Linked DNA regions of Nothobranchius furzeri. The protein of the gene in region 1 purifies or fractionates together with the protein of each later gene. This does not show direct contact. Links are inferred from orthologs where the notes say so. Each region holds a gene or a part of one and is shown in the gene's direction. Other genes may lie near its edges. The genes, in order: ptpn9a and lztr1.

What was found.
Region 2: the proteins of ptpn9a (region 1) and lztr1 purify together in Homo sapiens (affinity purification with mass spectrometry; 3 studies listed by BioGRID and IntAct, with this or other methods). This does not show direct contact. The link is inferred for Nothobranchius furzeri from reciprocal best matches to the Homo sapiens genes PTPN9 and LZTR1.

What each region holds. Positions count from the first base shown.
Region 1 is NC_091754.1:45,543,620-45,547,441, reverse strand, and holds part of ptpn9a (tyrosine-protein phosphatase non-receptor type 9), read left to right. Parts: intron 1-132; coding exon 133-276; intron 277-1,640; coding exon 1,641-1,730; intron 1,731-3,822. UniProt on the Homo sapiens protein: Protein-tyrosine phosphatase that could participate in the transfer of hydrophobic ligands or in functions of the Golgi apparatus.
Region 2 is NC_091757.1:45,256,749-45,261,037, reverse strand, and holds the start of lztr1 (leucine-zipper-like transcriptional regulator 1), read left to right. Parts: upstream 1-1,390; 5' UTR 1,391-1,614; coding exon 1,615-1,766; intron 1,767-1,851; coding exon 1,852-1,914; intron 1,915-1,997; coding exon 1,998-2,054; intron 2,055-2,132; coding exon 2,133-2,212; intron 2,213-2,303; coding exon 2,304-2,412; intron 2,413-2,589; coding exon 2,590-2,673; intron 2,674-2,752; coding exon 2,753-2,810; intron 2,811-2,913; coding exon 2,914-3,053; intron 3,054-3,137; coding exon 3,138-3,339; intron 3,340-3,531; coding exon 3,532-3,642; intron 3,643-3,721; coding exon 3,722-3,814; intron 3,815-3,925; coding exon 3,926-4,021; intron 4,022-4,289. UniProt on the Homo sapiens protein: Substrate-specific adapter of a BCR (BTB-CUL3-RBX1) E3 ubiquitin-protein ligase complex that mediates ubiquitination of Ras (K-Ras/KRAS, N-Ras/NRAS and H-Ras/HRAS).

The sequences.
Region 1 (3,822 bases):
ATGGGATTGTTTTGCATGCCTGAGAACTGGGAATTCCCAGACTTCTTGTCCTGCCCCAAACATGCCAAACATTAGCATGTTTGCACCAAACACACAGATGAAGATCTATGAGTAACATCTGGTCTGTTTCAGGCAACCAGCCAGTTTCTAGAGGAGATCAACAAATGGACCAGTCAGCACAGCGTGTCGCCGCTCTCCAGGGATTTGGCCGTCAAGTTCCTCATGGCTCGCAAGTTTGACGTCCTCCGTGCCATCGAGTTGTTCCACAGCTACAGGGTGAGGAGACCGTCTGGCTCTAACCACAACCAGAACCACATTAAAGAACTAAAGAATATGGTGGCTTTCATTTAGCATCATGTTAAAGTGACACTGCTCCAGATTAATCATTGAACAAGTTCTTGTGTAGGTGGAGGTCCTTGTAAATTTTTCAATGTGTCCGAAAAGGACAACGAATTTGCAGTTTTCAACGTGTGCGCAAAGGAGATACGCCGAGGCAAGGCAGCTTTATTTGTATAGCACCTTACAACAGTATAAAACTGACCAAAGTGCTTCACAGAAATTAAAACATTAAAAAACAATACACAACATAAAAATGCATAGACTAAAGCTTAAGAACTAACACTAAAAATACTAAAAAAAGACTCATGCTGAGTAAAAGCCAAATCATAAAAATAGGTTTTCAAAAGAGATTTAAACCAGACAGTGAAGAGGCTGACCCAATGCTCAAAGGCAGCTCATTCCAGAGCCTAGGGGCCGCTACAGATAAAGCCCTGTCACCTCTGAGCTTACGACTTGTTTCAGGGACTTCCAGAAGCATCCTATCAGCCGACCTCAGAGACTGCAGGGGAGTAAAAACCAGTAGCTCAGAGAAGCAGGAATGCTACAAAAGAATTTCAACACAACAAACCTGATATGACATTTGAAAGTTTCTCACACCAAGGAGTACACCGAGTTTACAACTTTGGCTGCTGCTAAGGCAGAGAGAGAAAAGCAACGTGCAGCAGCAACATCAACAAAAAGAAAGAACTAAGTCATAAGGTCATGGAATTAATATGCCTTGACCGTCAGCCGCTTGCCAAAGATATCGGGTTTAAACGCCTCATTAACTGCTTTGAGCTACAAGCTGCCTACTCGTAAATATTTCACTGACGAATGCCTGTCGGAGCTATATCACTGTATTTACAGTCAAATCCAAAGCCTTTTCTAGGATGACAACATCGTGTCGGTCGGCTTTGCGACTGACATTTGGAGTTCTAGTGTGAGTACCATATCGATGCTGAGTCTAACTGCACAGCTTATTGATCAGACGTTTGAGCTGAGGAGAGTGGCGCTTCACTCACAAGAGTTTCCTGGATCACACATGGTGGCTGCCATCTCTAAAGCTTTCACAGACATGTTCCAAAAATGGGGGCTCCCAAAGCAAAACGTACACGTTATCCTACGGGATAATGCGAGAATATGGCGAAGGCTAGGAAGGACGCTGGCTTACCAAGCCTGCCATGAACTCATTCAAGATGTGTTGGTCTTAAAAACTTAAAGTAAGGTTGAGGGTAAAGTTCTCTGAAAATCTGTTATTCTCAGACAAGAATTAGATTTTCCAGCCCCCGCCCTCCTCACCTGCTGTAATTTGCTTTCTTCAGGAAACACGTCTTAAAGAAGGAATTGTCAGACTTCAGCCTCACGAGGAGCCGCTACGCTCAGAACTGCTGAGTGGGAAGTTCACGGTGTTGGTAAGTCATGCACGCCACTGTGGCTTCAACGCAAGGTTTTGGGTCAGGTTACTAAACTCCGCGTTTTATATTCAGACTATTATTTATTGATACTGTTACTTATATAAAGAGGCCAGGGTGGTGGTGGGGGGTGTCATCAGATTCATAACAGCACAACCCAAAAAAAATGCTAAACCAAAAAATTATTTGTAGAGAGAGAAGAGCCCAGGTGCTTAATTTCTAAAGTGGTTTACACATAAAAAGTTTGAGAACTGCAAAAGTTATTTTCTACACAAATTGAGATTTGATAAAGAAAATTTTTATGGAAAAATGGGTCAAACTTTGACTCACACACACACACACACACATCACTCTACACAGGGTTTTCCCCAGTGCTTTACAGGCTAAGTGTCACTTATTTATTTCAAATCATTTTAATGCACCAAATTAACATTTAAAATTTAAATGGTGAGACGATAGGCGCAGGAAGTGCATCTCCCTTGAGCTGATCGAGTGGTGGCTTGATGATGACGCAGAGCAAGTGCGAGTTGGCACGTCGTTGGAGCAACCACCTGTGGGCCTAAGCCATGACTATGAACATTAAACCAGCTGCTTTAATCCTAAATGGTTAGCTGACCCTAAATATGGCGGATGCCTCTACAAGATGGAGTATGTTAAGAATATCTTGAGTTTATATCAAAATTGTTATGTTACACAAGCGCATGTATGCACACAGATGCTCACATGATGCTCTCACTTTTATGGACTTGGGCATTTTAAACACCTGACCTAAGGCTTTGGTTGGCACTTAATGCACAGAATTTTTAACGTGTGCCTTTCAGTGAAAATGGTTACTGTTATATATCCTCCTGTTGTGGGTGCAATGATATTTTGGTTTTGTTGTATTTTTGTGTCCTCTCCTCTCTCTCTTTCTGCAGTTCTAGACATACATACTTGTTCATTATTTATTGGTTTATTTTTTAACCCCCCACCACCACGACCACTTCCTTTCTCTCCCCCTTTCTTTTTCACTTCTGTCTCCGTGTCCGCTGTGATTTTAAACCACCGAAAACATTTCTAATGAAGTTTTGGTATCAGGTGTGGCATCATACCAGAAGCTATAACGCTCCACCTGTGAGAGAAAAACTGTAAGGCTTGTCTTCAGCATTCATACATCAATTCTGAAAGCTTCACAGCTGGACAGTACATTGTAAAAAATAATAATAATAAAAAGCAGATCCAATATCTGTGTAAAGTCAGTAGCATCTCTGCAATGTAATGGAGGCATACAAAACTGCAAATTTTAACATCCTCATATTGACAAGTATTGTCAGTTTACATAAATAAGTATATAAATGGTTTATAACAACACATATTAATCATGATTTAAAACTTCCTGAAAACATTTTGGGCATGGTGGGCTGCTCTACCAAAAGGCTTAGCAAGATTTGTGGGGGAAAACCCTGCCACACTTATATGTATGTCTTCAAATGACTTATGTTGCATTATCTGTGTGTAGGGGATAGACACTTCCAGTGTTCATCAAATTATAAACCAAAACATCACAGCATGCCCTATAGGTTATAAATGGTAAGTCGCTTTGGATAAAAGCTTCTCCTAAATGAATAAACACATAAAATCCTGCAGGGCAGTGAACCGGGCTCGAGGTGTAGCTGTCTGGGTTTTCTTAAACCTTGTTCCAGTAGGAAATCGCAGACAGGTGGTCTGATATTTGTTCGATATGATTAACAATATTTCCTCCCTCAAAGCCCTTTTGGGATAAATTAACTCATCCACTGCCAGCCGTTTCCTGATTGCTAACGGCCTTCGCTGCCTTTCTCACCGTTTTTACTGTTTTTTTAAGAGTCACAGAACGTTGCGCGCTAGCATGATGTCGATGCCAAAACAACCTAAACAAAGAGGAGACTCACCTCTTACATCAGGAAGAAGCCGTGTGTTTTGAGCGTTATCCGTTCTTTCATAATCCGTTGTCGAATTGTGATCGGCAGACGCTTTTCCGTTTCGCGCCTCACTTTTTTTACAGGAACGGCCCAAAACGATCTCCAAACACATGGATGGTCTGCTTCCTGATCATGTGATCTGTGATGTAGGC
Region 2 (4,289 bases), on another chromosome or scaffold:
CCTGCAGCAACAAAAGAGATTCAGCCAAATAAAAAGAAGATATTTTTCTTATTACTTTGTAACAGTTTCATTTCTCCTTACTTTGCATCTACTTAACATTTTATTCATTTGACCAGTGCATTCAGCCTTTCCATAGACTATTCAGTATTTAAATAATGATTGTGTTCTTTCATTTAATGACTTCTTTCTGATTTCCCCCCAATAATCTTTATGTAAAATATTATGTGATCACATTTCTAAAGAAATTACTGAAATGTATTTTTGAATGTGTTTAAAACAATTCTATAAAACTCACTATCCCCCACCCCTCCATTACCGTGTAAACCGAGGCTCAAACAGGGTCTGGATTTATTGTTCATGAATGTTGGTGATTTTTCGTTCTTTGATGAAAAATGCCAGACTGAACGAGTTGACATTGACTGAGGTACGAGAATGTTCATGGAAGGATAGTGACAAAAGTACCCTTCTGACCCATTAAAGTATTTTTTCAGTTTTTGTGTTAGACATTAACTCTTATTTACAAGTAAAATGAAGTATGCAAAATAGATGACACTCGCTATGGATGCAGCTGAGGACATCAGGTGGGTACTATTATGATTATATGGATAAACAGTAGCAGGCATAATACCAGGAGTGTTAATGTTTATTAAGAACATCTGACTGGAAAAAGATCACAAATCAAAAATATACAGATTAATTACAAATCTTATGGATCTTTTAGATTTATGAGCCTCATATGGACTTATAAATGAAAAATCCACAAATTATTCAATCAGTTTGAAAAATTCAACTATTGGTTATTATGATGCAAAATATTGTCATCTTCAAAATTTTTTGAAATTTTAAAATGTATTTACTAATTTTGTATTTTTTCTTGACAAATATATACAACAAATGTGGCATCTATTTTAGTCATTTCTGAAATTATTCTTTTTATTATTATTTTGTCATTTCTGAAATTAACATACAGGAAGTGGAATCTTCACTGATGTTGTATCAGAAAAAGGCACTCCTGCCTTGTAAAGTTCCCCATCACCGGAAGCGCATTTCATTAGCCTTTTTTAACTACTGGGTTCAGTAAAAGTTTTTTAAGTCTTCAGAATCAGTGTTTTAATATAATGAAAGACACAACTTTATTTGGCTTGTTACAATGTGTATGGCGAGCTAGTTCTGCGGGGGTTGCTATTTTTCGGTAAAACACCGGTGCTACGGGGGCGTGGTTGACATCTGATCCTGATAACTGTCCTTTTATTTCAGTAGTCCTGATGTTGTACCTTCGTTAAGACATCATTAAATAAGTATTTCGAATCGAAAAAGTATTTAGTCGGTTAAACGGAACTTTTAGTGTAACTTTAGCCGCTACTAGCTAACCTTTCAGTTGTTTGTAGCATAGCGTGACGATAGCTAGCTAGCCGAGGCTAGCTCTGAGCATAGCTAGTAGCTAATTGTTAGTTGGGTCGCAGTTTCTACCTTTAACAAAGCGCAATTTATTCTTTCCACGCGTTTAATCTCGTTAGCAGAGAAATAAAACGCTCATTTGTACAGAGAAATGTCGCTAACAGAGGGCGTCCTTTCAGATGAGTGGCCCTGAGTTTGATCAGATGAGTTAGCGAAATGTCTTGTAAATCAACCAAAGTCGCCCCGAGTGTTGATTTTGATCACAGCTGCTCCGACAGCGTGGAATATTTGACGCTCAACTTTGGCCCGTTTGAGACTGTCCATCGTTGGAGAAGACTTCCTCCGTGTGATGAGTTTGTTGGTGCCAGGTATCAAACTGTCAGATCAGAGACATGAGAGGACATACTGCGTGTTGACCCCTGTTCATTCTGGGTGTTTTGCATCCTCACACAGGCGCAGCAAACACACAGTTGTGGCATACAGGGACGCCATATACGTGTTTGGAGGAGATAATGGGTGAGAATTTGTTGACAGGGATGGGTGTTTTATTTTTATTTTTTGCATACATAAATGTGTTCTAACTCTGTTGCACCCTACAGGAAGAACATGCTGAATGATTTGCTCCGCTTCGATGTGAAGGACTGCTCTTGGTGTCGGTAAGACTGCAGCAACCAAAAGAAACGCTTTAAATCAAGAATCTGACTTTAACACCAGTGGAAAACTGTGCCTTACAGAGCTTTCACCACTGGAACTCCACCTGCTCCCAGATATCACCACTCAGCTGTGGTCTATGGCAGCAGCATGTTTGTCTTTGGTAAAGTTGGCTGATTTTAGATCTGCAAAAACTGCAAAAACTTAGATTATTTTGAAATAAACGAGTATGGTGTCTGTATTTTATTTTCCAGGGGGCTACACCGGAGACATATATTCCAATTCAAACCTAAAAAATAAGAACGACCTGTTTGAGTATAAGTTTGCCACAGGACAATGGACTGAATGGAAAGTGGAAGGAAGGTAATATTCATTTATTTTTTGTGTATATGAAATTAGTTGGCACCAGTATCTGGGCTCATGTTAATTTTGAGAGTGAAATTGTCTAAAGTGTATTTTCTCTCCATGTAATCAAACAATTTTTTTTTTGCTAACTGTGAGGATAGAAGCTGATTTGTACAAGTCTTGTGGCTGTTTTAGCTTGCCGGTGGCCAGATCTGCACATGGAGCTACAGTCTACAACGACAAGCTGTGGATATTTGCTGGCTATGACGGGAATGCCAGGTGTGTGAGATAACATTCTGTTTTTACATCTACACATTCATCTCTGCGTTCCTAATAAGTTTATGTTCTGTGTACGTAGACTAAACGACATGTGGACCATCAGTCTGCAGGATCGTGATCATGCATGCTGGGAAGAGGCTAGTTAACTTCACCTACACATTTAAAATGGACAAAAACAAAAGATCCAGAAAGACTGAATCCATGTTTTTATATCTCTCTGTTTGGTTTTGTCACCGCCAGATTGTTCAAAGTGGTGAAATTCCTCCATCCTGCTGCAACTTCCCAGTAGCGGTGTGCAGGGATAAGATGTTTGTGTTTTCTGGTCAGAGTGGAGCCAAGATCACTAATAACCTCTTTCAGTTTGAATTCAAAGGCCACATGTGAGCATTGCCTTTCCTGATGAGTCAAACCATAAGTAGTGTGTGTGTTGGATAAAGTCACACAGGACTCCAACGTCTTCTCAGGTGGACGCGGATCCCAACGGAGCACTTGCTGCGGGGCTCTCCTCCACCTCCTCAGAGACGTTACGGACACACTATGGTCGCCTTTGACCGCCACCTGTACGTATTTGGAGGTGCTGCTGATAACACGCTACCCAATGAGCTGCACTGTTATGATGTGGACTCTCAGACCTGGGAGGTGATCCATCCCAGCTTTGACAGTGAAGTATGAACCAAAATGGTTTTCCTTATATTTTCTTTATCATTATTGTTCTGTTTATAGATACTTCATCGATTAGAGTATAGGAGATTCTTGATTTTGTCGCTAAAACCTTCAATAATTTCACTTGGGCTTGTAGTCCTATTTGATGCTCATTGCATGATGTTTCCATCCTGAAAACCAATTTGAACCCTACAGATGCCGAGCGGGAGGCTCTTCCACGCTGCGGCTGTGATCCAAGATGCCATGTACATCTTTGGAGGGACTGTGGATAACAATGTTCGCAGTGGGGAGATGTATAGATTCCAGGTGAGTGTTTACAAAGAAAGTAAATTTTCTTTAGACAACTTGGTCTAAAACTGATCACATTCAAATGTTTACATTGCAGTTCTCAAGCTACCCAAAGTGCACTCTCCACGAGGATTACGGTAAACTGTGGGAGAACCGTCAGTTCTGTGACGTGGAGTTCATTCTGGGCGAGGTGGGTCTTAATTGTTAAAAGAAAAAACGGAGGTTAAGCTTTGAAGTAGCTGATTAAAATCACATGGAAGGTAAACATGTTTTTTCTCATCTCCTGTTGTGTTGTTTACAGAGGGAGGAGAGAGTCTTGGGGCATATCGCCATAGTGACCGCGAGGTGCCAGTGGCTGCGGAGGAAAATCCTGCAGGCCCGGGATAGGCAGCGACAGGTCTGAGTCAGCACGCCTCATGTTTCCTGAGACTACAGGACTTAATCACAGTTTTAGCCCCACAAGTATTAATATGACTCAAGAAGGTACTTTTTACATTATGTAGAAATGAAGCCAAGTGGAAGCTGCAAATGAAATAATTGCAACATAAAAGGACAACTAGTTTTCTTTACAGGAACAAAATAAAGCTAGTTTTGAGCATCAAGGCTTGTGATATAAAATCGGCACAACCGTTTCAAATATCCACATAGAATGTTAGCAGGTGCTC